Linked DNA regions of Cricetulus griseus. The protein of the gene in region 1 purifies or fractionates together with the protein of each later gene. This does not show direct contact. Links are inferred from orthologs where the notes say so. Each region holds a gene or a part of one and is shown in the gene's direction. Other genes may lie near its edges.

What was found.
Region 2: the proteins of Mepce (region 1) and Lsm3 purify together in Homo sapiens (affinity purification with mass spectrometry; 3 studies listed by BioGRID and IntAct, with this or other methods). This does not show direct contact. The link is inferred for Cricetulus griseus from reciprocal best matches to the Homo sapiens genes MEPCE and LSM3.
Region 3: the proteins of Mepce (region 1) and Ccnt1 purify together in Homo sapiens (affinity purification with mass spectrometry; 3 studies listed by BioGRID and IntAct, with this or other methods). This does not show direct contact. The link is inferred for Cricetulus griseus from reciprocal best matches to the Homo sapiens genes MEPCE and CCNT1.
Region 4: the proteins of Mepce (region 1) and Hnrnpul2 purify together in Homo sapiens (affinity purification with mass spectrometry; 3 studies listed by BioGRID and IntAct, with this or other methods). This does not show direct contact. The link is inferred for Cricetulus griseus from reciprocal best matches to the Homo sapiens genes MEPCE and HNRNPUL2.

What each region holds. Positions count from the first base shown.
Region 1 is NC_048597.1:116,679,211-116,686,518, reverse strand, and holds the start of Mepce (7SK snRNA methylphosphate capping enzyme), read left to right. Parts: upstream 1-2,704; 5' UTR 2,705-3,100; coding exon 3,101-4,702; intron 4,703-5,597; exon of another isoform or gene 5,598-5,730; intron 5,731-5,828; coding exon 5,829-6,047; intron 6,048-6,524; coding exon 6,525-6,651; intron 6,652-6,746; coding exon 6,747-6,799; 3' UTR 6,800-7,308. UniProt on the Homo sapiens protein: S-adenosyl-L-methionine-dependent methyltransferase that adds a methylphosphate cap at the 5'-end of 7SK snRNA (7SK RNA), leading to stabilize it.
Region 2 is NC_048601.1:52,287,709-52,295,044, reverse strand, and holds the start of Lsm3 (U6 snRNA-associated Sm-like protein LSm3), read left to right. Parts: upstream 1-3,272; 5' UTR 3,273-3,401; coding exon 3,402-3,422; intron 3,423-5,918; coding exon 5,919-6,029; intron 6,030-7,336. Other genes in the region: Xpc (DNA repair protein complementing XP-C cells), read right to left, coding at 3,043-3,136. UniProt on the Homo sapiens protein: Plays a role in pre-mRNA splicing as component of the U4/U6-U5 tri-snRNP complex that is involved in spliceosome assembly, and as component of the precatalytic spliceosome (spliceosome B complex).
Region 3 is NC_048595.1:395,039,919-395,047,232, reverse strand, and holds the start of Ccnt1 (cyclin-T1), read left to right. Parts: upstream 1-2,864; 5' UTR 2,865-2,977; coding exon 2,978-3,138; intron 3,139-5,164; coding exon 5,165-5,246; intron 5,247-7,314. UniProt on the Homo sapiens protein: Regulatory subunit of the cyclin-dependent kinase pair (CDK9/cyclin-T1) complex, also called positive transcription elongation factor B (P-TEFb), which facilitates the transition from abortive to productive elongation by phosphorylating the CTD (C-terminal domain) of the large subunit of RNA polymerase II (RNA Pol II).
Region 4 is NC_048596.1:51,267,369-51,274,626, reverse strand, and holds the start of Hnrnpul2 (heterogeneous nuclear ribonucleoprotein U-like protein 2), read left to right. Parts: upstream 1-3,144; 5' UTR 3,145-3,343; coding exon 3,344-3,875; intron 3,876-5,961; coding exon 5,962-6,097; intron 6,098-6,395; coding exon 6,396-6,472; intron 6,473-6,725; coding exon 6,726-6,865; intron 6,866-7,247; coding exon 7,248-7,258. Other genes in the region: Ttc9c (tetratricopeptide repeat protein 9C), read right to left, coding at 1,475-1,712.

The sequences.
Region 1 (7,308 bases):
ATAGATGGATGGATGCATGAATGGATAGATGCTGGGGAGGGGAGATGGCTTAGTGGCAGGGGTGCTTGCTGCCAAGCCTGATGACCTGCAATTGATTCCAGAGCCCATATGTTGGGGGGGAGGGGAATCAGGTTGTCCTCTGGCCTCCACATGCTCTATGACATGTGCACACACACGAACACATAAACACACCCCCACACAACAAATAAAACACATTTAAAATTTTCATTTCTTTTAAAATGGAGTTAATGGCCTTTTGACATCAATGTCTAATAGCCGATGAACTCCTGCCTATTCTCATGACTCGATTAACTGTTTTTGTTTTTTTTAAGTTCCCTTTTGAGCACGCATGCTCTAGAAACTTTAAACATTTAACAAGAAAGACGAGTCCATCTACCCTGGCCAAATTTACTTTCAGAAGTAATTATCCAAGCTAAACTTTCAACAGAAAGTTTCAAATACAATCCATGGTTCTGGGCCAGAGGCTTGGGGGAGGGGGAGAAAAAGCCGAGCGGCGGTGGCGCACGCCTTTAATCCCAGCACTCCGGCGGCAGAGGCAAGCAGATCTCTGTGAGTTCGAGGCTAGCCTAGTCTACAGCGTGAGTTCACAGAGAAACCCTGTCTGTGGGAGACAAATAGCAGGGGGTGGGGTGTCGGCAAAGATATGGTTGGTCACTTATGAGCTAAACAGTTTTTTTCTTTGGCGGGGGGGGGGGGGCGGTTCTTGAGACAGGGTGTCTCTGTGCAACAGCCCTGGCTGTTTCTATGACCAGGCTGGGGCCTCGAACTCACAGAGATCTGCCTGTCTCCGCCTCCCAAGTGCTGGGTTTAAAGGCGTGCGCCACCAACGCCTAGAGCAAAACAGATTCTTTCCACAGAGCAGATGTGCTTTCTATTGTTGACATCGCTCTCTGGGTTGCTTCCATTCGCGCCGCCCTCCCCCCACCCCACCCCTCCCCCGGCCCCGTCCCCAGGGACGTTCTCGCTTCAAGGATCATGTGTCCTGTGCCTTCCTCAGCAGTTCTCTCTGGAACAGGCACTCAGACAAGCCGCGCCTCCGAGCGCCACGCGGCGCTTCGTCATCCCCTCCTGCTGACCAGGAATCCCACCGTGAGCGCCTCTTCCCCTCAGCTCCCGCTCAGCCTCACTGTCCCTCAAGTCCTCATTTCCCGCCACGACACTGGGTTGTTTGTGTTGCGAGTGTTCTGGAAATCAGGGACTCTGAGAAAGGGGTCGAGTCGGCTGCAGCTCTCAACGGAAAATTTCTCCTCAGCCAACAGGTACCAGGATTCACCGCACCTAACACGCTCCTCTAGGGCGGGATAAAAGCAGCCAGCTACCTTCTGGGGCGCCGAGGACCTAAAGACGAGGCGCAGCCTACGCCGTCGCAGCCATTCCGCACATTCTTCCACCTCGAACTACTTTTCCCGCCACCAGAGCAGGCGCGAGGACACGGACAAACCCCGCCCCCGAGCGGCGTGCCTTCAGAGATGATGCGCATGCGCAGCTGGAAGCCGCTTTGCGAATGCGCAGCTGGCGTACACCGCCATCTTCCAAACTAAAGCCGGCTGAAACTACAAGTCCCATAATCCTCGCGGGCGCCGGTTCTCTCCACCCCCACCCCATATGCAGCAGAGCGCCTGAGGTACTTGGTTCCGGTATCTCTGCTTCCAATCGCCTCCCCATTCCTGTGTTCATCACACACCCCGCATCCTTTCGTTTCCCTCACGCTTTTATACTTTGTGTGGGACCATCTCCAGCAACACTCTTGCCTCTGCCGCGCTCTTGTCTGACACAGTCTGTTGGCGGGGAAACTCCGCCTGCCGCCACTCTGGGGACTCGGCAGCGAATGCGTGCTTCCCATTGGCGGGAGCGGAGGGCCCAGGGCGAGCCGTTACCCTTCCCGCCCGCTCGCCCGGCCGCGCTGGTGTGTGAGGTGCTGCAGGAGCCGCCGGCGCCAACAACGCCACCCTCGGGCAAGCGGCTGACGCGCAGGCGTCGCACCGTGGCGGAGGCGTCCGCCCCGAGCAGGTGTCGGGCGTCGGGGTTCGCCGTCGGGGGAAGAGGAGGCGGGTTGCGAGAGACCGGCCTTTTCGGGGGGGGGGGACGTTTTGGTGCAGTCAGAGACTGTGTAAAATGGTGCACTGCACTTTGCTGGTAACGGCTCCCTCGCCTACTTGGGTCGCTCTCCCTCCTCCTCCCCCTCCTCCTCCTCCACTTCCTCCTCGCAGTGAGACGGGCGGAAGGAAGGGGTAAAGAGATCACCCACGAGCCCGCCCCTGCCGCCGGGGCACGCACGCCGCGTACCTAACGTGAGGAAGCGACGTCACACGCCCCGCCCCCAGGGCTGAAGGGGCGGGGCATCGCCTCCTGCACGTGTCGCCCCTGGTACCCGCGCAAGGCGGAAAGCGCCGTGCGCAGGCGCTCTCCCGGAGGGGCGGGGATGGGGGAGGAAGGAGGCGGGGCGGGGAGGTTGTTGGGTTTAGAGCCGGGCGGAGACGGTGGAGCCTCATTCCTCAGCAGCAAGGGTCGGGTGTCAAGGAGACCTGTTCACACCGGCTCCGGTCCCCGCCTCCGGTGGGTGGGAGCGCGCGGCAGAGACAAAGGCTATCAGTAGGGCTGGACAGAGCAGCGAAGGGAAGTCGGGCGTCCGTGTGGGGAGGGGGGCGCCTCGGGCTGGGGGAGGGCGAGGTTGTTAGGGAGGGGGGGCTGCATTTAAACTCTCGGAGCCGTTAAGTTGGTGCGCACTCCCGATGCGCGCACAGCCCGGGTGGTGGCGGAGGGCGCATGCGCGGGCCCTGGACGAGAGCCCCGCGCGCCCGTCGTGCGCGCTCGCGCCAGAGTGGTAGTGGCGGCGGGGAAAGGGTGGCGGCGCACGCGCAGTTGGGTCCTCGGCTCGCCCGGGTCTCGCGGGCATCTTGTTTTGGTCTCGCGGGCGAGTGGGGCGCGCTTGGTGTGTCGCGGGCGGGGTTGTGGAGGCGCTTGGGCGCGAGGCAGAGCTGCGCGCGCACTCGGGGAAGGGGAGGGTTTGCAGGGGGCTTCCCCTCAGTCTCTTCTCGGTCCCCTCGCTTGCCAAGGGGGAATCAAACGGGGAGAGGAGATGATCGAGATGGCGGCGGAGAAGGAGCCCTTCCTGGTGCCGGCCCCGCCACCGCCGCTCAAAGATGAGTCGGGCGGCGGGGGCGGCCCCGAGGTGCGATCGCACCGGGAGGCTGCCTCCGGGGAGCTCCGCGACGGGACGGAACGCGGGCCGGGCCCACGCGCGCACTCGGCCGGGGCCGCCGCCAGCGGAGGGGGCGGCCCCCAGGCACAGGCGCCCGGGGAGCCCCACGGGCGAGCCGCCGCGCCTGCGGACGTGGGGGAGGAGCGACGGGGAGGGGGCGGGACGGACCTGGGTCCCCCGGCCCCTCCTCGACCTCGCAATGGCTACCAGCCCCACCGACCCCCCGGGGGTGGCGGGGGCAAACGAAGAAATAGCTGTAACGTAGGGGGAGGGAGCGGTGGAGGCTTCAAGCATCCGGCCTTCAAGAGGCGCCGGCGAGTGAATTCGGACTGCGACTCGGTATTACCCTCCAATTTCCTTCTGGGGGGCAATATATTTGATCCGCTGAACCTGAATAGCCTCCTGGATGAGGAAGTAAGTCGAGCGCTCAATGCAGAGACCCCAAAGTCATCCCCACTTCCGGCTAAGGGGCGAGACCCTGTGGAGATCCTCATCCCCAAAGATATCACTGACCCGCTCAGTCTCAACACTTGCACTGATGAGGCCCATGTAGTTCTTGCCTCGCCACTCAAGATTGGTCGAAAGCGCCATAGACACCGGGGACCTCACCACCAGCAGCAGCAGGCGCCTGGAGGGAGTGACAGCCACGCCGCCCTCCCCACTGACCCTCTCACCCCCTCACTCCATGCGGAGGGTGCCACCACGCAGCAGCAGCAGCAGCAGCAGCACAGGGGCCAGAACCGAGATGCCCCTCAGCCCTATGAACTCAACACAGCCATCAACTGCAGGGATGAAGTTGTGTCTCCCCTTCCATCTGCCCTGCAGAGTTTCTCAGGCTCCCTTTCTGCCCCTCCAGCTGCCTCAGTTACCTCTGCACCCTCATCTTCCTCCTCCCGACATCGAAAACGACGCAGGACTTCCAGCAAGTCGGAGGCAGGGGCTAGGGGTGGAAGCCAGGGTTCCAAGGAGAAGGGCAAAGGGAGTGGGGGAGGCCGTCATCACCACCCACTCCCTGCAACTGGCTTCAAAAAGCAACAGCAAAAGTTCCAGTATGGGAATTACTGCAAGTACTATGGCTATCGCAATCCTTCCTGCGAGGATGTGCGCCTTAGGGTGTTGAAGCCGGAGTGGTTTCAAGGCCGGGACGTCCTAGATCTGGGCTGCAATGTTGGCCATCTGACCCTAAGTATTGCCTGCAAGTGGGGCCCAGCCCGCATGGTGGGGCTGGACATTGATCCACGGCTTATCCACTCTGCCCGCCAAAATATCCGACACTATCTGTCTGAGGAGCTTCGTCTCCGAGCCCAGACTTCTGAGGGTGACCCAGGGACAGAGGGGGAGGAAGGGACTACCACTGTCCGAAAAAGGAGCTGCTTCCCAGCCTCACTGACAGCCAGCCGGGGTCCCATCGCTGCACCCCAAGTGCCCTTGGATGGAGCGGACACATCTGTCTTCCCCAACAATGTCGTCTTCGTCACGGTAAGAGAATCCAAAGGCTCTTGGAATAGGGTTCAAGTGTGAAGATGAGATTAAATAGTAATGTGTTGGGGGAAAGGTCATGACCTAGAGGTGTATTCCTGCATCTGTTCCTCCTACAAGAACCATCTTCTGGAGAGAACAGTCTGCATTGGCCAGAGAATCTCTACTGGGTGTGTTGTCTATCCTATAACCTGGAAAGTGGGATCTCTACCTGCAGGCTCTTAACATCTGGTCTTATGACTACAAGGATCTCATCCCCAATACAGGGGCTGACTTGTCCTGCTTCCAGTGGGAACTATACCAGACAATCCACCTTCCCTTGAGGGTTACCTCTACAGCTCTGTCCAGATGGAACCCTGTCCTCAAATCTCCTGAGGGAGCTTGAGATTGGGTGTCTTTGCGGGAGGAGGAGACTGGCACTCCAGTATGTGTAGTTTGGGGCCTTTGATAGGGACCTTGTTGTATGTATCAGCTGCTTTTTGTTTCCCTAGATACAGGACAGACTGGGTCAGGAACCCAGTAGGCTTGGCTTTCCGTCTTTCCCGTGCTGACTCTGAATAGCAGGAGAGGGGCGGTGAAGGGAGGAAAGAGTAGCCAGCCTGACAGAGCATGTGTCCCTGTCTCTACTAGCTTCTTCCATTGAGCAGTTAGGCCATCCAGAGGAACATGTGCCCATGGCTTATCCTGAAAACATGTCTTCCCAGGGACTGGGAAGAGAAGGTTTCCTGGGTTTTTAATTTCATTGAAGAAATAGACCTGAAGCATTAGCAGACCCTAGTGGGAAGAACCTCAGTCTTTAGGACTGCTGCCTGTGTATATGAGGGCTGGGTCTTGGGAGCATTCCAATATTCTTCAGTTATCCCTCAGATAATTAGTTCAATTTAAATCTGCCCAGGCTCCCTTTTAGGTTTGTTTGGTTTAGCACCAGGAGGAAGCAGAGGCAGGAAAGGGAGAAGAGACCATGAGACTGACAGAAGGCGCTGTCGAGAGGAGCCTCAGAGAAGAAGGCCACCAAGGGCCCAAGTGAGGTTGTGTGTAGGACTTTGTCTCAGAGTCTGCAGGTGGTTGTGGGGCCAGTGGTACACCTCTTCCTTTTGTGACCTCTTTCCCATCTTCTGGCCCTCAGGGTAACTATGTCCTGGACCGAGATGAGCTGGTGGATGCCCAAAGACCTGAATATGATGTGGTGCTCTGTCTCAGCCTCACCAAGTGGGTGCATCTGAACTGGGGTGACGAGGGGCTGAAGCGCATGTTCCGCCGCATCTACCGGCATCTCCGCCCTGGCGGTATTCTGGTCCTGGAACCCCAACCATGGTCCTCCTACTGCAGGAGAAAGTCTCTCACCGTGAGTTGGGTTTCTGTAGAGATAGGGGATAATCATCTTTTTATTTTACTGTGGATTAAACCCCAGACCTCACACATAGCAGGGAAAGTGAGCTATAGCCCCAGCCTGTTTGTTTGGGGGGGGGGATTTGTTTTGTTTCTAGACAGGGTTTCTCTGTGTAGCCTTGGCTGTCTTGGAATTTGCTCTGTAGACAAGGCTGGCCTTGAACTCAGAGATCTGCCTGCCTCTGCCTAAGTTATGCCAACCACCCTCTTTATTTTGAGACTGGCTGAAGCTGCTGGCCTGAACTGGCTCTGTAGTGCTGCAGGCTGGTCTTGAACTCTTCATCCTCCTGCTTCAGCCTTCTAAGTACCCGACATGACTTGTATGGCTTGTACCACCATACCCAGCTCAGACTTTCTGAACAAAGACAAAAGGTTGTCATGCTTGGCCAGGAAAGAGAAGTAAGTTGAAGTAATCCCTCTCCTATTTCCCCAGGAAACAATCTATAAGAACTACTTTCGAATCAAGCTGAAGCCAGAACAGTTCAGTTCCTACCTGACATCCCCAGAGGTGGGCTTCTCCAGCTATGAGCTTGTGGCCACACCAAGTAACACCTCCAGAGGTAAGAATGGCTCTACTTTGTCTCTGGGAGGAGAGGGTGCTGGCTCTGTGAAGAATCTCAAGGTCCTACCCACCTGCCTTCTGTATGTTCTTTAGGCTTCCAGCGTCCTGTGTACTTGTTCCACAAGGCCCGTTCCCCCAGCCACTAAGTGGCCTTCTGGACAGAAGGTGTGAAGAGGCTACCCTTGCTGCTCCTGAGGACCTAGGGAAGAGGAAATTATCCCAACCAAGGTCTTTCGTGTCTGGCTCCAAAAAGTTTCCTTCCTTGGATCTGTAAAGAGAGCTTTTCTCAAGTTGCTTCCCGAAGTCTTCTCCCTGACACCTCTGGCACTTGAGCAAGCCCAGCTGTGCTGGAATTACATCGGCTTCCTCTCCGAGCCTGCTGGGCTGGATGGCATGGACTGTTTGCTGACTCTGTCCTCCTAGGGCATGGGAAGGGGGAATGTCAATTCTCTAGGCCCTTCCTCCTGTTCTCCGAAGGAGATTCCTGCTTCTCAGCCTTTGTTCCTAGCTGCACTTAAGTGGACCATGGATGGACTAAGGGTGTTAGAGGGGAAGTTTGGTAAGGAGACACACAGGTACTGTGAAAATCCTTCCTTCTGCTGTCCCCCGGTGGGAGAGGGAGCTGGGTTTGGAATGTGAGAACAGCACAATAAAC
Region 2 (7,336 bases), on another chromosome or scaffold:
ACTCAACCTTTCACCTAAAGCCTTCTCTATGGTCACAATAAAAACCACACAAATCAAATGCAGAGCCCCATGTACCATAGGGAAGTGCTACACCCAGCTACACTACCAGAAGACTCTTTCTTATTCTACTTCTCCTAAAACAGAAACCACCCTATGACTAAAACTCTAAATTCCAATCTCAAAAGAAATGTAAGGGAAAAAAAAAAAAAAAAACCCCTCGAATCCATTCAATGACACCATGCTTGCCAACCACCTGCGAAGACCTAGTAGAATCTACTACTCAGGTGAGACCCTTCCAGTTCACAAACCTCTTTGCACCTTACTTTTACTATTTTCTTTCTACCACATTCTAAACCAAACTCTGCTCAAGCACACTGCCATTCTGGAGACCTAGGTAGCCGAAAGCTCACAGAGATCTGCCTACCTCTGCCTCCGGAGTGCTGGGATTAAAGGTGCACCACCAGGTTTAATTAAATCATTAAAACAAAGGAAAAATGGCATAATATGTTCAGTGTAAAACGTTGTTTTGGCTGAGTGTGAAAAAGCTCAGGCGGCAAGAAAATGGACCTCTACTCTGCAGTAGTAATCTTTAGATGGCAGAAACAGGTGACTTTTCAGCATTGTTTGCTGTTTATTTTTTGCAGGACGAAGAGGAGAAGGGTAGCCTCTCAACAAATCTCCAGAATAGTTTCCAAAATTAAGAGCATCTAGCATACCTAACCAGTCTCCTTGAGCTCAGTCATTTCAGCAGTTCAAGAATTAGCACTGTGGTTTCCTCATTGAGCTATGGAGACTTAAGGGCAGGTTATACATCTTCTCAGAACTCCCCAAGGCACTCAAGAAGAATTCAAATTCCTTAGTTTGATCTTCAGGCTGAGGTCCCTGCCCTGCAATCACCTCTATTTCCACAGTTCATCTCTTCATACTGTGCACAGCCAAGAGTCTTTAAGCATCCCATTCTGTGCATCGGACACCCCCCTTGTACTTACCACCTCACTTCCAATGTAGAGCTCAAATTGGCTACAGCACCTGGACACTAACACTGCCTCTTCCCAGACCTATGGCAGTCTGACGGGAGCAACCGGATTTACTCATCACCATGTGAATTTGCTTTTCTTTTTTCTCTCTTTTTAAATCTCATTATGTTAACATTATTCGCTTCCCCAAAGAATATCAGCATCCTAATAGCAGGAACCTTGCCTGCTTCGTCTACTAGTATACTCCCAGTACTTAGAGCAGTGGCTGGAAATCACTGAATAAATACTTAGAGAAACTAATGAATTTCCCAATGAAGACATTAACAGAGGAAAAAAAAAACATATGAAGAGGAGCCTATTGGACAACAAGGTAAGTGATGATGTTCTTTATTCCCAACTATCAAAAGGAGCTAAGCCTCATCTTCATTTGCATGCATAGGAGTGCTCCTCAACTTTTCCATGTAGAAACTACCAAACTGGCAGACGCCACATAGCAGATGCTCAAGAAATGTCTTAGCTTAGATGAGTAAATGAAGACGGTGAAGTTTCTTAAGTGTAGAGTAAGCTAAGGCCTCTAATGTTTAGGAAATATTACTGTTTCCTAGTGGGCAATGAATTTACAATCTGTATGTAATCCGATTCCAAGGTAGTAGGAGCTATGGGGTGGGTATAGGGGTCACTCAACTAGTCAAGTTTTTTTTATCTAGTTATTTTAGAAGGCCTAGATAGCCCTTCTCTAGCAGCATGCATTTGCATATTTAAAAAATGTTTTTGCAGGACAAAAGAGATGGTTCAGCAGTTAAGAGCACTTGCTGCCCTTCCAAGAGAACTCAAGTTCAATTCCCAACACCGAAATGGCAGCTCACAACCTTTTGTAACTCCAGTTCTGGGGAATCCAACACCCTCATCTATTTAACATCTGCAGGCATGGCCCACACATTGTGCACAGACATGCATGCAAAAAACATATGCATAAAATAAAAAAATAGTAAAGTGTTTTTTCAGAGATGTAAACAAGAGAAAGAACAAAATAGGTTAAGAAGGGAAATGAGCTTTGTTTTTATGAAGCTTACATTGTACTCAAACAATCAGAAATGAAGATGACTGTAGAATGATAGGTGAATAGGAACATCACTGTGATTCTGTGGTGGAGGATACCTAGGAATGACTACTTTAAGATGACCGTGGAATGTCTTAGACCTCAAGTAGAGAAGAAATTAGACCCAGCAACAGCGACGGAGAACATTCTAAGGCAAAGAAACATGGAAGGCCAAGCCTCCAGATAAATAAACAGTATATTCAAAGAAGAGAAAGGCAGTCACCAAGAGCCATCTGTAATCCCTGTGATCATGAGGATGAGACAGGAAAAACCCAGAGCTCTAGGCCGGGCTGCTGTTTAAAATAAGAATATCTGGAAGAGAGACATGCTAAGTGAGGTAGATGCTATACACGGAGAGCACACATCTAAGAAGGTTTTAAGTAAGAAGACCAAGGCATATGAAGTTTTGTTGTCGTTCTACATCACTTGGCTGCTGGATGGAGATCTGATGTAGAGGGGAACTCACTCAACTAGAAAACGACAGGAACAGGATACCAGCTATGAAATTAAGAGAATTAGGCACATATTTCAGTGACTCCGAAGCTGAACTGGACCTCCTGACGAACTAGCAGTTAAGAAAAGGCGTGTTTTAACAGGTGGGTGAAGGAGTGATTTATTGAGATGGGAATATTTTAAGCTTCTCCTTGGTTCAAGACCAAGGTAAGAAGCGCATCGCAAACCTGGGGCCGGAATTACAGTGGATGCAACTTGGAGAGAGATTCTCACACTACAAGGTCTCCCTCTGTCCTAGTTTTGGTGTCTCTCTGACACCGGGCAACAGGGAAGCTTTTTCCTGATCGGCCCTCAACACTTGCCAAGAGGCTGGACTTGGTCCTAGGGGTTACGGTGGGGTCAGGGCTGATGGTAGAGGCCCTCGGGGCGCCGCGCATCCGGCCGTGGAGACCTTCCGCCCCGCTGCCCGCCCCAGCCTCCGCCACCATCGCCTTGCGCGCCGCAGCCTCTCACCCGCCTCGCTCTCCTCCGGCCGGGCTGCTTTGTTGTTCTCGGCTTCTCGGCCGCGCCCCCGCCGCCTTCCTCCCGCAGGGCGCTTCGGAGCCATGCTGCCCGGCAGCGACACTCCGGGCTACCGCAGCCAGCCGGCCGCAGACACTCTCCGCGTGCTCGCCCCGCCCCGAGGCGGGCCATGCCTGGGCCGCGCCCCCTGACCAGGTTGGGACCACGCCCTCCGGAGAAACCCCTCCCCCTGCAAACTACAGGGGCGCAAAGGGACAAAAATAAAGTAGGTCTACTTCCCGAGAGTGGAACCCTTTGCGTTTCTGAGTGCCTGTTCTCGCGAGAGGTGGAAAGGGCGCAGCGTTTGAAACATGGCGGACGACGTAGATCAGGTAAGTTTGTCCGGAGGCGCTCTTAGAGGAAGCGCTTGCGCTTCCAGGTCGGGTTCGCGTTTTCCACGCTCGCTGAGAAGCGGCCCGTCTCTCTTTGTCCCGAGGAACCACGGCCTTCCGTAGCCGCGCCGGCTCCTGAAACTTCCGCAGGCCTAGAGTTTTCTCAACCCGCCTATCTGCCCATCACGCTCGGCATCGGCTTTTATCTGTAAAATGCAAACGGCTGTCGACACCAGACAGAAAGCGTGAGGTAGTGGTGGACACCAGCTTTGTAATACGTGCAAGCGCCTGGTGCGCAGGCAGCGGCTCACTTGGAGTGCAGTAGGAGGGAGGGAGGGAGGTAGAGAACCTGGTGGAGATGTAGTCTGGAGAAAGCAAGCCAAGATCGGGTGCACACAGGATCACAGGCTGCCCTCTTCACCTGCTCTTCCCCCTATTCCTTAGCTACCTGTGGAGTTCCGAAATGATTGCACTCCCTCACACGCACACGCACCCACACACGGGTATTTAAAATAACAGAGCATGTTATTTTAAATATGTATTTCTTTATCTGAGACATTTCTTCCATAACTAGAACGTAAGTTACTTAATAGGGGCATTGGGGCGGGGGTGGCTGGAGAGGTTGCTTTAGGAGTTAAGAGCACTTGTTGCTTTTGTAGAAGACCATGGTTGGGATCCAGCACCCACATGTTGGCTTAACAGCACCCCAACGCATCTTAACTCCAGTTGCAGGAGGGGATCCTCTGCCCCCTTCTGGCCTCTGCTACCGAGCACTGTGTCAGCGTGTGGTGCACATGCATACAGGCAAACTGCTCACATACACGATAAAAGTAAACCTTTAAAATAAAGGGGGGTTTTCTGTGTTTGCTTTTCTTTCCTAGGTTTAGGACAGTGCTGTTAGCACTCAGCAGGTTATTAGTTGAGGGAACGAACCCAATGTTCAGGGGCAGCTTCTTTGAAAAGGCAGAATGTAAAGCTTACAGGGTGAAAAGGATTGACAGTGGCCATCCTAGACTGAAGAGGGCTGTCGTGGGAACAGATTTCATTGTTTTGCAGCTATGTATTTATATGCCCCTCTCCATACTAGAGTGAGCTCCATTGAGGGGATGCGGCTTCTGTATTGTTGTAATCCAGTGGTTGGTTGTCTGATTTCTTAACAAAAGCCTGCTGAGCTAAGGTGGGAGGAGGAAAGCACCAGTTGAGATCCGGGGTTGGGGGTGTTCTGGGAGGGTTGTTTGTTTCCTGTCATCAGCCTCATATCTACACAGCCTACAATTTTCAGCTTTCACTGACCCCAGGTACTCACTGGAGAAGCTTGCTGAATGGTCTTACTAATTCTTGATGGCTGGAACCACCTCTTTCATATAGCTGAATCCAGGTCATCCCAGTTCTAACCTTTGAAACCTGTTCCAACAGTTCTTGAAGAGTAATTCTGATTTATCATTCCTCTGAAATGACTGACCAAGAATGCATTCTTAAATCTTGAAGCAAGCAAGAGATTATATTAAATATAAGAAATTACAGGTGCTGGGAGTGGGGCTGGTAAGATAACAGGTAAAAATGCTTGCAGTTTGTAAGCGTGACAACCTGAGTTCAATTCCTGGGACACACAGAGGAAGGAGAGAACTTTATAAAGTTGTCTTCTGACAGCTACTTGAACCCCATCACACACACACACACACACACACACACACACACACACACACACACACACTCTTAAAAGTTCCAGACTCGGTTCATACCTGCCCAATCCCAGCATCTGAGAGGCAAAGACTTGCTGCTCATCAAAGGCTGTCATGGGCATGCCTCTTAAAAAAAAAAAAAAAGGTAATTATTTAGAAGTGTTTCCTTTTTACTTCAGATAGACCCTTTAGTCCTTATAAGATCTCTGAGGCAAAGATGTGGTCTCCCCAGTTTGCAAATGAGGAGTCTGAAACAAGAAATGGCATGATTTTTAATCCCAGTTCAGAAGAGCCAGGTCAGAACCCAGAATTGAACAAAGGCTTCCTAATGACTCAGTTCTTTTAACTTCTATACTATACTACTCGGTAGGTAGGTTCATCTTGCCAGCCAATTAGCACCCTAAACTTAACCTGCGCTGTACTGACTTCAAATTCTGTCAGATCTTTTTAGTAGTGTGTGAATAGGTATTGCAGGTATGTTTTTCAAATGATTGAATTATACAAAAGATAAAGCTAAGGTTCCTAAGTGGTACTCTAACACTTTGGATTTTTTGGAAGTTCAGTCATCATTTTGCTACTTAACTCCTCTCCACATAATGTTTTTCTCCTCTTTTACATAGCATCGAGGCACCGTTCTAAGCTTTCATATGTCATTTAAAATAATAGTATTGGGGAGACACTATTTTCTGCATTTGGCAAATTAGACTAAGGTATAAACGGGTTATGTGACTAGCCCTTGGTTTCACTGCTTAACAGTGATTGAAACACCACTCTGCCTCTGGTGGTCCATTACTAAGTGTGTTTCCTTCATCAGCAACAGACTACCAATACCGTAGAGGAGCCCCTGGATCTCATCAGGCTCAGTTTGGATGAGCGAATTTATGTGAAGATGAGAAACGACCGAGAGCTTCGAGGCAGATTACATGTAAGTCTTTTAAATTATCTCAAAACCAGATGTTTCCCTATCATCCCTTCCTACCTCCTTACAGATTTAAGAACTGCAACACAAACATACTGTTTTGAATTATGTAGTTTCTTTTGGGAGTTGGAAAATCTTAGACAATATGAATATCCTTTATTTTTAAAATATTTTTCCTTAACCAGAGGTTTATGAAAGAAAGAATGTGTACATGTGGCTGTGTGGATGTACCCGTGCTTACGGAGCCCAGAGATATCTTGGAGCTGAAGTTACAGACATGATATGGGTGATATACAAGCCAAACTTGGTTACTCTGCAAGAGTAGCCAGTACTCTTAACCTGAGCATCTCTCCAACCCTATAGAACATTTTTACCTCCTTCAATCTTACCTTCTGTTTACTTATGAATAAACTTATTTGTCTTTGTTTTAGACAAGGGCTTGCCATGCAGCCCAGTTAGTTTTAAAGTCAACATCCTCCTGCCTCCATCTCCTTAGAGCTGGGATTATAGATATGCACTACCATCCTTGGCTTTGTCCTCTGTTCTTGGTTTTTGGGGAGGGTGTTGTTGTTTTAGTTATTGAAAACAGACTGGAGATACAGTTCACTAGTAAGAGTGCTTGCCCAACACGGAGCAAAGCCCCTAGCACTACAAAAAGTGTTAAGTAGCATAGAAATCTGTAGGATTAAAAGCGAAGTCCCATTTACTATGGATGAGCACTATTCAGGGTTGGTTACAGAGTCTTCCAGATCTTTTCTGCATGTGTGTAGACTGTGTTTAAAGGGAGATCCTAGTGAGGTATGGTGACATGTGCCTGTAATTCCAGTACTTAGATGACTGAGGCAAGAAGATCAGATGTTCGAGGCTAGTCTGGACTACCTAGTGAAACCCTGTTTTGAAAGTCTGTGACGGCTTCATATACATATTTTTAGCACTTTTTCCATGTGACTTTTGTGTGTGTATGGACTGTTAGATAGATGATTACTACACAGGATTTTATATAAGGCAACAGTCACATTTTTCCTTTTTTTTCCCCCTAGCTATGAGACTGTATTACTCACTTTTATATATTATTACTTGTGCACATTTATGACTTCTGTGGAATTACGGTTTTGTCTCTTCTTAACTTTTTACTTTCCTAGGGCTGTTGGTTTACAACACGGAATTGAGCCAAGTCTTACTTTAGGGTTAGAGACAGCCCTGTCCTGCCAGTGATAGATCCACTAGGCAGTTGTGCTTCAGTCTCCCTCTCAGAAACTATGATAGTTCCTTCCATGATTCCTGAGGACAGGGAGCCTCTGGGGCTGGGAAGG
Region 3 (7,314 bases), on another chromosome or scaffold:
TTTCAAGACAGGGTTTCTGCCCTGCCTATACACTATTTTTTTTTTAAATTCCCTTAACCAATCTTAGTTTTTTTGTTTGTTTGTTTTTGTTTTTTTTGGCTTTGGAGGCTGTCCTGGGACTCACTCTTGTAGACCAGGCTGGTCTTGAACTCACAGAGATCCTCCTGCTTCTGCTTCCCCAGTGGTGGGTTCAGAAGTGTGTGCTATCATACCCAGCTTTATATTTTTATTTTTATTTTTTTTGGTTTTTCGAGACAGGGTTTCTCTGTGTAGCTTTGGAGCCTATCCTGGCACTCCCTCTGGAGACCAGGCTGGCCTTGAACTCAAGAGAGATCCACCTGCCTCTGCCTCCCAAGTGCTGGGATTAGGTGTGCACCACCAACGCCCGGCTTCCAGCTTTATTTTTGAGACAGGTTCTCTCTATGTAGACCAGGTTGGCCTTGAACTCTTATAGAAACAGCTGCTTCTACCTCCTGAGTGCCCAGATCAAAGGTATGCACCACTAAAAGAGGCTTAGAGCAGACCCTTAGGGACAAGAATGCTGGGTGTATTTCACAATGCTGCTTTTTTTCTTCCAGCTTGCTAGAAGCAAGAGGGACTTTTATGTTTTGGTTTGGTTTGGTTTTTCTAAACAGGGTTTCTCTGTATAGCTTTGGAGCCTGTCCTAAAACTCATAGAGATCCACCTCCTCTGCCTCCTGAGTGCTGGGATCAAAGGTGTGTGTCACCACCGCCTGACAGGGCTTTTCCTCTTAACAATGAGAACTTGGTGAGGCTCCTGTATATATAACACAAAAGTGAGGCATCTGTTGAGGATGGACCTCCAAGAACTTTTTTTTTTTTTTGGAGACAGGCTCTATTAAGTAGCTCTGACTGTTAGGAACTCACTGTGTAGACCAGGCTAGCCTCAAACTCAGTCTCCCTCAGGGATTAAAGGTGTGTGCCAGCACTGCCTGGAATTCACTTTGTAGACCCGGCTGGCTTTGAACTTTGATCTTCCTGCCTCTGCCTCCTGACTGTGGGGCACACTACTACATATTGCCCTATATCACTAATATTTTACAGACACAATGAGCTTGTTAGGCATGTGGGAAGTTGAGCCCAGAATTTCATAAGGTCAATGCCTGCCTGGGTTATAAAGTAAGTTCAAGACTAACTAGCCAATTTAAAACAACAAATCAAAACAGGGCTGGATACAGCTAGGAGGTAGTGTACTGGCCTAGCATAAGCCCAGGGGTCTAAATTCAATCTCCATTGGTGTTGAAGGGAGAAGTGCAAAGAAGGCAGACTGAGAAGGTTTAATTATTTTGCTTAGGATGAAAAGCTGCTAGACCTGGAGCTGGGCTCCAATTTAATAGCCTCCTGAACTTAGAAATTTTCCATGTGGTGGTTGTGGAACTTTCCGCACTGTAGAGGCAGTTTTAGTTCATCCATTAGCAGATCCTAGGATTCTTTGCTACTTTTAAACTATTTCCTGTTCCTGTACCGTGCCTCAGTGCGTTTGGTACAGTCAGAGGACAACTTGCCAGAGTCAGTCTTGTCATCTACCATGGGGGTCCCAGGGATGGCATTCAGGTCATCAGTGTCTGGCAGCAGCCTCATCTACCTGCTGAGCCATCTCGAGGGGCCCCTCTTTCACATTCACATCTATACATATAAATAGACACACAGACACTCAAACACACAAAGTCCCATAGCACTTCTTGGGTAAAAATCAGAGACCCAAATGTTTGAGATGGACTGCCAATTCCCAGGCTAGTGGTGGCTACGGTGGGCTCTTGATAAAGAGTGGGGTCACTCACAGATCCGTGATTTGGGATAGTGTGAACATCAGAACTGAGCTGAACACTGCGACAGAAGCCTGGGAACAGACACCCTGGAGTGGACAGGAGGGTGAGGCGGACAGCAGCCCCAGCTTGCTGTTGTTCACAGCCCCACAAAGTAGACCTGGGAGTGAGTGCAGGGCACAAATGATCTCTTGTTCTCCTTCCCTTGATAATCTTTCCCTAAGGTTTGGGTTTCCTAGAACTATTGATCAGGCCAGCACTGGCGCCGGGCACACCCTTGGGACCTAATTGAAGGTTTGGAATCTGCACTGGCAAGCATATCGCTTTCACTGACAAAAGTACAGCAAGAGGAAAGGCCTCACCACCTAAGTGAAGTCATACGTAAGTCAGCAGTCCCGAGCCTGTCGTGGTGTCGCCTTTAATGCCAGCACTCAGGCGACCACTACCGGATTGGTGAGTTCCAGGCCTGCCAAGTCTACACAGTAGGCCCTGCCTAAAATACAAACAGAAACAAAGACAGATCTGCATCCCGAAACAAAATAAAAAAGGACGGATCTCCATCCTCAAGTAAAAACTCCCCAACACATCGTGTTCTTGGGACACCGAGGCATGAAATTAGCATCGTTGGGTACCGGCAGTGAGACGGAGGAAGGGCTGGTATAAATAGAACTGCTTTTCTCTGTGTAGCCCTGGCTGTCCGGGAACTCTCAGAGATCCCCCTGCCTCCGCCTCACCAGTGCTGGGATTAAAGGCGTGCGCCAGTAAGCAACGAAATCAGGAAAGCCCTGGGGAGAGACTGGGCTAGCGCAGCCTGAGACGGTCAAGGACCGCCGACAACGCGACTTCCGTACAGTTATCGCGGGGAGAGGCGAGATTTGCAAAGAACAAATTTTGAAGAGCGCACCGCATCCGGGAGTCGCGTGACCCGACCGCGCCTGCGTCTTGGCTGTGGCTTCGTCCCTAGCCGCGGACTGGCTGTGGATGCGTCTACGGGGTGTCGCAGGGTTCACTCCGGAAGTAGGCGTTTGAAGCCTAGACTTCCTGGGAGGAAGTGTGTCACAAGCTGGGAGTCGACTCTCCGGAGGAAGTTCGTCACGTCGCAGTTGTCTCGGCCCGGCGGATGTGTGTCGCCGCTTAGGTGACGCTGGGAAGTGCTTGCAGCCCCCGCCGCTGCCTTTTGGTTGAAGCACTATGGAGGGAGAGAGGAAGAACAACAACAAACGGTGGTATTTCACTCGGGAGCAGCTGGAAAATAGCCCGTCGCGTCGTTTTGGCGTGGACTCAGATAAAGAACTATCTTACCGCCAGCAGGCGGCCAATCTACTCCAGGACATGGGACAACGTCTTAACGTGTATCCTTGCGGCCTAGGCCTTCGGCCTTGGAGCCCGTCCGGCCACGCTTCGGCGTCCGGCCGGCCGGCCACGCCGGCGGGGACACGAGCGGGTAAGGTGGCGGCAGGAGCTGGACGTCTAAGTGGGGAGAGCCCACAATGGCGCTGGCCGAGCCACTGTTCGCGCGAGGGAAGTGAGGCGGAGTCAATTTCCCGCTCGCTCACCGGTGCTACCAGCCTGGCTGGGAATTCGGACCTCTCCGGTCTTTGTGCTTTCGCCCCTCCTTCCCAGCCCCTCTCTTCTGGATTCTCACCTGTTCTAGTGGCTTTTGAGAGTCTTTCTGCCGTGACCAAAGGCTCCGTTTAAGAGGTTTCACTATTGACGCTGACTCCCAAAGTGTGTAAAAAAGGGGTTTTATGAAGGTGGTCTAGAATTAGCGCCCCGGCTTTGGTTCCAAACCCGTTTTTCCCACTTGCTAGCTGTTTTAACTTGTCAAATTCTTGTTTTTCTATGTCCACCACAACACTTGAGTGTCAGTTGTTTAGTAGCTGTTTCATAGAATTTAAGAGGAAAGAAAAATGCCAACTTCGGTTTGTAGGGAAGTATAAATATGGAAATAATGTTTTAAGTATTCTGCAGAGTATTAAATTCTTGCTTCTCAGGGCACTAGAGATTATTCATTCGTTTTCAAATTTCAAAGATAAGACAATTTATTGACCCCCCTCCCGTTTTCATTCTTAAGAGAATGCAGTCATTTGTGATAAAACTAATAGTTTTGTTAAAACTCTTAGCATTTTCCATCTAACTTTCTTTAAGGTGCAGCTTCAACTTTATGTAGCATTTATTTAAGAGTGCTGAGGGCTGGATATGGTGGTGTTCACCTTTGATCCCAGCATTGGGGAGGTAGAGGTAGGCCAAAGCTACAAAGTGAGACCCTGTCTTCCAAAAAAAAAAAAAAATCTGACTCTAATGTTTAGGTCTTAAGGGTTATTTTTCTTCTAAATAGGTATTCTCTTTATTGGCCAGTTGTTTCCTATTGAAATCCAGTTTGCTTCCCTAGTATTCAGTCAGTGCACAATTAAACCTCTATGTTTCTGTATATGTTTAAGGCACTCTTTAAAAGTGTGTTTAACCTTGTTGCCGTCATATTGTCATCTCTATATAGATTGTTGCTGAAGTCTGGGAATAAAGCATGCTCTTTTTTTCCTGGCTAGAGGTATACCCACACAAACAAAAGACTCTGGTCTAACTAGAGAGAGGGAGGGAAGAGTTTATTTTCAGTGGATTACCACCATCAAATCATTTCAAATGTTTAGTAGTTTGGGAGTCATGTGACATTTCCTGGGAGAAGTAGAACTATGCTGGGCTTGGTGGTGCATGCCTTTAATCCCAGCACTTGGGAAGTGGAAGCAGGCTGATTTCTGTCTTGGTCTGAAGTCATACTGATTTACAGAGTGAGTTTTAGTACAGCCAGGGCTACACAGAGAAGCCCTGTCTCAACACTCCCATATCCACCCACCCAGCACCCAAAAAGGAAGAAAGAAAAAAAGTAGAACTAAAAAACTGATCTCTGGAGTTTAAATTATCCTTGTGCAAGCAAGATGGCCCAGCAGGTAAAGGCGCTTGCCGCCAAAACCTGCTGACCTGAGTTTTATCCTTGTGGCCCATAGGTGGAAAGATTCCTGCAAGTTGTTCTCTGACTCTGACTCCCAAACTTATGCTATGGCCTGCATCTCCCCTCCAAAAGTAAATGTAATTAGAAAAAAGTTATCCTGAACTAATAGCTCATCTTTGCAGAAGGCAAGTGACATGACAGACTTACACCTTGCCACTTGTTTTGTTTATTCAGTCATTGAGTTCTTATAAGTACTTGTTAGGTAGAAGACATGCTGTTGATTGTCAGTTAACAATTTAGTTAGTTCAGGAAAACAAATCTGTTTGATTTGAAGCCGTAACTGTTACCTTCGTGTAGGATTGTCTACTGTGCTGTTTTTTTGGGAAGGGGATTATCTTGTGTGTTGTTGACCCTTAACTTGAGTGCTTCAGCTCACAACTGACTATCAACACCGCCATAGTATACATGCACCGATTCTACATGATCCAGTCTTTTACGCAGTTCCATCGATATGTAAGTATAATTTTGTATGGTATAATTCTTTTGGGTTTGATTCTAGCTGTCTATTTTATGATGGTTATTGTTACTGGACTACAATTTTAATTTTACAATTCAGAGCTGGTCATTTTAAGGTTAAAAAAGTCATGATTTAAGTATAGCTTTCTACTCGGTAAGTTTATGATCATAAAAAGACAATGTAAGTTAGATTTTGCAAAACTTTTGATAAAATTCAGAGGTTAGCTGGAGGAAAAGATGTATTATGTGGTAATGACTGGGGAGATGACTTTTAGGAATGGGGAAGAATAGGGATAAAAGGATATTTTTTTCCTTGGACAAAGTTGTAAATATAGTACTGTTTTCAGTTTTGTTAAAACTGAAATGGCCTATTTAACAATTGGTGATTTGGAAGTGAATACCTAGTAATATTTCAGTTGCAGGTAAGACTATATTTGTTTAATTAAAATCCCAAGGTAAAGCTCGGTCTGTGGTGGTACACGCCTTTAATCCCAGCACTTGAGAGGCAGAGGTAGGTGGATCTCTGGTCTACAAAGTGAGTTTCAAGTCAGCCAGGGCTACATAGAGAAATCCTTTCTTAAACCCTTACTAACCAAGATAATAAAGGTTAATTTGAATAGATGCGTGGATTAGTGGGTCAAATATTCTACTATTATTTCTTAAAATCTTTGAGGAAACTTGTTTCTTTTTTTTTTTTTTTTCCGAGGCAGGGTTTCTCTGTGGCTTTGGAGCTTATCCTGGCACTCTGTAGACCAGGCTGTCTTTGAAGTCACAGAGATTTGCCTGCCTCTGCCTTCTGAGTGCTGGGATTAAAAGCATGAGCCACTAATGCCAGGCTGAGGAAATGAGTTTCAAATATAGGATAGTGCACCTAAAAAACTTGGTTTTAATATTGGGTGTGTTTGTGCTAGTGCCCAGAGGCTAGATGAGGGTACTGAATTCCCTGGAGCTGGAGCCACAGGCTGATGTGATCTACCCTAGGTGGGTGCTGCGTCAATTTACTGAGCCATCTCCAGCCCAGATAAGACATTTTGAGTTGTTTTGTTTTGATGCTATAAGAAGAAACTTTGTGAACCTAAATCTAATTCCTGTAGTGTAAGAAATTGGCAAAATCAGATTTAGGAGTAAAAGGAAAGAAACTCTTAGGATCTTTAGTTAAGTATTGACAATCTTGAATGATTAGTCAGTTTGGCTCTTTCCTGCCCTTAGCTCTCATACTTTTAATAAGCCTTTATTGAAGCTGTCTGGTAGCTCTGAAACAGAAGTAGTGAATAGAGAATGAAATTAAAGAGGAATTCCATATCTGTCTTAGAAATTTTGAAGATGTCAGCTTTCTTTCTGTCTTTCTTTCTTTCTTCTCTTGAGTTTAGAGCCTCACTATGTAGTCATGGCTGGATTTGAACTATCTAATTCTGGCTGCTTTGAAATTCCAAGTTCTGGCATTGTGGGCAGAGTCTTCTATTGCAATAAAGATTTGAAATTTAGGGCAGAATCTTAAATCAGGTTTTTCAGTCTGCACTTACGGGTTAGCCAATATTTCCCTCTTATTTAAATAACAGGCTTTTTTGGGGGGCGGTCATTGAGGCAGGGTTTCCCTGTATATCCCTGGCTGTCCTGGAACACACTTTGTAGACCAAGCTGGCCTTGAACTCACAGAGATCCACCTGCCTCTGCCTCCCCAGTGCTGGGATCAAAGGCGTGGGACACCACCGCCCAGCAGTAATTGGTTTTCTCTAGAGTATTGATTTTAGGTGTGTTTTAGAATTAGTACATCCAAAATGTTACTGTCTTAACACATTAATTTTATAAGTTGGCTGTAACTACAATTAAAATTAGATTTGAGCTTGTCAAGGTGATGCATGCCTTTAATCCAAGCACAAATCCTAGCACTGGGGAGGAAGAGGTTGGCAGATCTCCAAGAGTTTGAGCCCCAGCAAACAGTGGGTAAATATTAGCTGGGTTTTTTTTTGGGGGGGGGAGAAAATTTATATTCTAACCAGATATAAAAATACCTCTTAGTGTTAGATGCATGTGCCTGTGAACCCGAGTCACAGGGCTCCCAATA
Region 4 (7,258 bases), on another chromosome or scaffold:
GAGGCAGGCATGGTTGAGGCCATCTGAGCTACACAGACCTTGTTACAAAAACAAATAAAACACTACCATAATAACTATTATTCAAGTCCAAAAGTATTGCTGGACACACTGGAAAAAAATATCACTAACTTTTATCATAACTAATAAGTATTGTAATTTCAAAAATTCTTAATGCTGATATTGCAGGCTAGTGACACAGCTTTTGGTTAGTATGTGCAAGGCCCTGAGTTCCACAGCTCCACTCCAACACCATATGTACACATGCAATATGTGTGTCTGCCTGTATATACATATTTAAGTTTATACAAATAAAGTTAAAGAGTGCTCTATAATATATATATATATATATATATATATATATATATATATATATAACATTGCTTGTTTGTTTGTTTGTTTGAGATGGGATCTCTCTATGAAGCTCTGGCTCTTCTGGTACTTGCTGTGTAGACCAAGCTGGCCTCAAACTCGCAGAGATCACAAAAATATTTTTAAAATAAACAGCCAGATGCCGTGGCTGGCACCTATAACATCAGCACTTGTGAGCCAGCGGCATAAAAACTGCCAGGAGTTTGGAGCCAGCTTGGTCTACAAAGTGAGTTTCAGACCAGGTTGGGCTACATACTGCGTCTCAAGAAAAACAAAAATAACTTTAAAAAGCAACCAGTATGAAATATAAAAGCTCTTGATAATATATATATAGCCTCAGTTTGCACTGTTAGAATGCCTTTACTATACTGTAAGTTAAGTTAATTAGTTCTAAGCTTGATTTGTCTACCATAGAAAAGAATAAAAGGTCTCTTGTCAATTAGGTTAATCCTAGCAGAACTGTTCTATCTTCATACAAAGCCATCTGGAAATGGAAGATACTACTTATCCAATGTCCTTGATTTCTACAAAAAAAAAAAAAATACAATCAAGCACAAGTAATCTACAGTATCTAGAGCCAGTAACTTGTTTCCCAAATGTTAAATTTCCTTTAGACAAAGGCACTTTTTTTCTACAGAAGGAAAAATGTTCTAAAGTTAGCAACATTCCTCCAGATAAATCCACTGGCCGTACCACCCTAGATGCACTAGATCAAAGTTTCTGGAGTTAGGGCCTAGGAAGTTGTATTTTCACAAACTCTAAGTTAGGTTTGAAAAATTCTGCCTGCTTAAGAGCTCTCTACAGATTGGAAACAGATTTCAATTCATTGCCCAATAATCAGATGACAGCGAAGATTGTAGTATTCAAAGGGCTCGATGGCGCTGTCTTTTTTGTTTGTTTCACCTTGTTTATTGAGACAGGGCTTCTCTGTGTAGCCCTGGTTGTCCCGGAATTCACTTTGTAGACCAGGCTGGCCTCGAACTCACAATATCACCTGCCTCTGCCTCCTGAGTGCTGAGACTAAAGGCGTGCGCCACCAATGCCCTTGTTCGGTGGTCAAGTCTTGATGCTCCACCCACCCTCCTGCCCCCCCCCCCACTCTTACCCGCTAGGTTGTTGTAGCAGTCTGTCTGGGTGGTGTGCAGTATGTTTTCTTGCTCTGGCGTGAGAGCTGGGCCCTCAGGTCCTAGATTGGGTATCGGGGAAGGCAGACTTGGATCCAGACCTCGCAGCTGGAGAAGAGCTCGATGGTACCGACTCACAGCATCTCGGTACTTCCCTTCCCGGTAGCGCTGGTTCCCTTCCTCCTTGAATAGCTGAGCCTCCTGCAGGCGCTTCTCCATGACTGTTAGAATTGCTAAATGGAAGATCAAAAGAGGTCGTGGTGTTGGGATCAAAATTATTGGTCTGGGAAGTCTATTTTGTAAGCAAAAAAAAAAAAAAAAAAAAAAAAAAAAAAAAAAAAAACACTCTCCTTTAACTTGAGCTTTGATGTTTTTACTGCAGTTCTATCTATCCTGTTTTCAGTTTCCAGAAGTTCCACAACAAAAGGAATAATGAGGTAGTGAAGCCATAGACCAAATGATTTCCAAAAGAAGAGATCCTGGCGTGAGTATAGACTCTAGGAAGATTTAAAGGCCCAAGTACAAATGCCAAGTGTTTGACCGCCGCAAAATTCGTTTCCTTTTCTCTGAGACACACCCCCTGACCTGGAAGAAGATGGAGTAGGCGGGAACAACTGAAACAAGTCAAAAAGGCTTCGCTCCTTCCCAAGCTCTTTATTTGACCTTATTCAACAAGCATTTGTTGATGTCTCTGCTGTTAATTAAGGAACCGAAGTGAATGAGGCCTGAACCTCCCAATCTGCAGGAGAGACAGATGTCGCATGCACAGGCAAACACAACAAGCGCAAGACTGCAGTGGCCCAAGCCCGGAAGTTTCCTCCAGGGATTCAGTTTAAGAGCCGCAGCACCGAGAGGAAAAGAGCCGGCTTCCCCGCAGTTTAGCATCTAATGGGGAGCGCGCATTGCGTCACTTCACCCAATCAGAAACGAGTCCAGAAAAGTAATCCCGCAAAAATGACCCCGCCTTCCCAGCGGACCAACCCGGAAAAAAAAAAAATTCCCGGCCACTTCTCCAATAGGAAAAAAAGCCGCACGATATCAGATGTCCAATCACAGCAACAGACTACGATTCAAGATGGCCAATGAGAGAGGCTAAGGGCGGGGTCGGAGCTTCTGTTGCTGGGTAGAAGTTTAAGCACAGAAAAAGACCCGGGCATTGCTCGCTCTCGCTGGAAAACCCTTTGCCTACGAGCTACGAAAACAACTGCTCTGCGCCAGGCAGCCCTCCGGCTTGTCTCGGTTGATGACTTTCAGAAGACGCAGTGAAAGAATACGGAAGAGACGACATCAAGTAAGACCTAGGGTGCCCCGGCGAGTGGGAGCGAGCAGGAAGTAAGAGTACTGACAGGGTGGGCGGGGCTCCGGCGCGACTGCGCAGAGCCTACAACCGAAGGACCGAACGAGGGGCACACACACGCTTCCGTGCTACGAGGCACTTGAGCCGCAGCCAGCCTTGCCGGAGCAGGTTCCTTGCGGCTGCGCAGTCATGAGGCCTCCGCTGATTGGCCGGGGCCTCTGAGGGGAGGGAGGGAAGGAGAAGTGAGGGAACTCGGTCGTCCTCAGCGCGCGCTCGCCCGCCAGCCCGCCTGCCCGCCCGTCCGCGGCCGAGAGCCGACTTTCTATCACTTGTTTGGGGCTCAGTGAGCCGCAAGGGGCAGGGCCGAAGGAGGGCGACACAAACACGCCGCTGTAACCGCGCGGCTCCTGCCGCCGCCTGCGTGCGCTTACGAGCGCGAGTACAGTGCTGGCGCGGGAGGCGGAGGCGGGCGGCGGCGGCGCCTGCGCGGTCGGGCTCGGTCGACAGTTCGCAGGGGAGGAGGCGGCGGGAGGCGGAGGAGGCGGCGGCGGCGATGGAGGTGAAGCGGCTGAAAGTGACCGAGCTGCGGTCGGAGCTGCAGCGGCGGGGCCTGGATTCGCGCGGCCTCAAGATGGATCTGGCGCAGCGGCTTCAGGAGGCTCTGGATGCTGAGATGCTGGAGGACGAGGCCGGCGTTGGCGGCGCCGGGCCCGGCGGGGCCTGCAAGGCGGAGCCTCGGCCTGTGGCCGCGTCGGGCGGAGGCCCGGGCGGGGACGACGACGAGGAGGACGACGAGGAGGAGGAGGACGAGGAGGCGCTGCTTGAGGACGAAGACGAGGAGCCACCTCCTGCTCAGGCGTTGGGCCAGGCCGCGCAGCCGCCTCCGGAGCCCCCGGAGGCGTCAGCCATGGAGGCCGAGCCCGAATCTTCCGACGCACCGGCGGAGGCCACGGCTGGGTCAGGTGGGGTAAACGGTGGTGAAGAGCATGACACCGGCAAGGGGGAGGAAGACGGGCCGGAGGAACGCAGCGGGGATGAGACGCCGGGATCCGAGGCACCGGGTGACAAGGCCACAGAAGAACAAGGTGAGGAACTTGCAGCAGAGCCAGGTTCCAACCCAGCCTGGTGCGTCTCTCTGATCCAGCACCCCACCCTGCACCGCGCCATCTGATTCCTTGTTTCCACTTGCCGGAAAGTGCACGGGTTCCGTGGCTGTTTGATGGGATTCCCCAGGGAACGTGGTTTTCATCCACTGCCCATGTTTTTTGAGGGTTTGGGTGCCTTGTTGCTCTCCTGTTTGCAGGAGGGAGGTTTCTGCCTAACGTGGTTTCTTGGTGTTAGTGGATGGAAGTGTGTGGTGTGGCATGCGTGTGTGCCTATGTCTGTGTCTGTGTGTACTTTGGAGCTACCTGTGGATCAGTCTTCTGGTGCTTCCTCTTTAGCTGAATACCTTTAGCAGAAAATGTAGTGAGAAATTGGCGATCTGCAGGTACCAGTTAGACGCTTAGGGCTTCGACCTATCTGACAGTTAATTTCTTACAGTGAGAATGTTAAGCAGTAAACACTCTGTGATGTGTTTTTCTGTCAAACTCCCGTTAGAGCTTAAGCCTTACAGAGACTGGGTAGCTAACCTTGCTCCTTCCTGCTTGGCGGTAGTAGACGGTGTCTAGTATGAGCCTATTGCGTTTAATCATTAACTAGCAAAGAAAAAGTCTTAGTAACTTTTAGTAGCATGTTAGTTGCTTGAATGAGGCTTTTTTACCTTGTCCCTCTTGTTTTTATATCTTAATTCTCCTTCCAAGTCAGTAAATGGGCGTATGTTTAGACTTACTCTACACCGGTGCCTTTAAGGCTCTTGACTTCCTGAGCTGAAATGGTTGAGGGGTTTCTAGTGGGTCAGTTGAGTAACCTTGTGGTAGAAAATGTGTAGAGACTTCCCCTGGGAGTTAATGACCTTTCTCCTTTCTTTTGAAATGCTTGCCTGGTTAGAGCTAATCCATAGTGTCTGACTGTCAGGGGAAGGAGAGCTGCTTCCAAGTCTTACTTCCAAGGGGATTGCCTTAAGTTTTTTATATCTTTTTTTTTTTGTTTTTTTTTTTAAGGCTGTTAGTGTCATGTAGTTGGAATCTATTTTACAATGATTGAATACAAAGTATAGTGTTTGGGGGGGTTGTTGTGTCTTATGTCCTGGAACAAAATTCCTATTACATAACCATTAACTTGTGTGTATCCTAAATAGCAGATAAAAAGCATTCACAGATAAGAGAGTACTTTAGAGGAATTGTTGAAGAAGACTTTTTAAGCTTCAAAACAAAAGCCTAAGGGAAAAAGAAAACGCTATGTGTTACTCCTTGTAAAGAATGCTGCTGTCAGGCTTAGTGGCACATGCATTCAGTCCCAGCACTTGGGAAGCAGAAGCAGGCAGATCTCTAAGTTGAGGCCATCCTGGTCTACATTGTGAGTTCTAGGACAGCCAGAGTTACATAGTGAGACCCTGTCTAGAAAAAAAAAGAAAAGAAAAGAAAAAAAGAATGTTGCTAAATATCCACCACCACCTTCCTGCCCCAAATTCCATGAAGTGAAGCTTTGGTGTTATTTATGGTTCACTTGTGACTTACTGATTTGCACTGGTAGCTTTCAATTAAAATACCTGTTAAAAATTCAGCTGCCATTGTGTGGCTGTGCATTTTAATGCAGAAAAGTAGTCTCTTAAAGAAAATATAAGCCTTCTGTTCCATATAGCTGTTGAAAGGCATTAGAAAATAGTCATTAAGTACTTGCCATAAATACAAATCTGATGAGAATTGAAATTCACCTGTGAAGGTTTTCAAACAACTTCAGGGATATTTTCCTTTCTTATTAGTGGGGAGATCTGCCATGTTGGCTTGAATGAAGTAGATAAATTTAGAATGGAAAAATTGCCCAACTTTTTCTATTTCTTGACTGTATTTAGCTCACTGTGCCCCTCACCTTAACCAATGAAAAGATAATTGGAAATAAACCATTACATACATACATGCATACATACATACATACATACATACATACTAGGAACACTTTGAATCAGATACCCTCAATTTCCCATATTGGTTAACTCAGATTCTCTTAGTTCTGAGCTTATTCTCTGCTCCAGTATAAAAACTGCTGATTTTCTTTCCCTCCCTTTTGTAGGAGATGACCAGGATAGTGAAAAGTCAAAACCAGCAGGCTCAGATGGTGAGCGGCGGGGGGTAAAGAGACAGCGGGATGAGAAGGATGAACATGGCCGAGCTTACTATGAATTCCGAGAGGAGGCTTACCACAGCCGGTGAGGGAAACACTCCCTTGATGGGAATGTCTGCTCTGCTTTTGGTATTACTGGTGTTGATTGGACAGTCTGGAAGGAGGGGTGGATTGAAAAATGCAATAGGTCTTTGTAGGCATAAAATTTAGAGTAAATAAGTCTGTGATGGAAACTCCTATTTTTTTTTTCTCATTGAATGAAAGAAGCTGTCTGCTGGAATTTGATAATTCACTGATACTTTAAAATGGGCAGTGCCACACAAATAACCTCAAAGAAAGTAGCTTTGGGTATATTGCATTTGCTCTCCTCTCCTTACCTGTAGCTCGAAGTCCCCACCACCTCCAGAAGAGGAAGCAAAAGATGAAGAGGAGGATCAGACACTTGTGAACCTGGACACGTGTATGTATAATACAAATAATTTGTTTTTTGAGAATAGGGCCTTGCTATATATTCCAGGCCCTCTTCCAACTTGTGATCCCCCTATGTTAGTCTCTGGAGTGATCTAAAAATGAGTTTTGAGAGTAAAACTTAATGGTCTGATTATTTGGACAGTTTTTGTGTCCATTCATGATAACTGGGCATAATGGTGCTCTCAGCACTTTATAAGTGTTGAGCTTTGCAGTAAACTAGTCACATCCTTCTTTCTTAACAGATACCTCGGATCTCCATTTCCAAATAAGCAAAGACCGATATGGAGGGCAGCCACTTTTCTCAGAAAAATTTCCTACCCTTTGGTCTGGGGCAAGAAGTACTTATGGAGTAACAAAGGGAAAAGTATGCTTTGAGGCCAAGGTAAGGGACTCTTTAAAATCATTTATTAGTTTAAATTGTGTATTGGACTCCTGGCCGGTATTTTATTAGTTCAGGAAAGGCACCCTGCTTAACATACCCTTAGCTCTGAGCAACATATTGACCCGTATGGCTTTGTTTTGTTGTTTGTTTTTTGTGCTTGGAGTTGAACCCAGGGCCTCATACATGTTAGACACTTTATTTCTGAGCTACATCCCCAGGCCTACAACTTTGGTCTTTGGTTCAGGTTTAATGAAAGTTGTTTTTCTGATATTGAACTGTGATTTTTTTTTCCCCCAGTTTGTATACAAATCTTATCTTTGTAACTCAGACTTTGTACCTGAATTGGTCAAAGTACCTGAGACTTCCTTTCTAACTTGACCAGGTAACACAGAA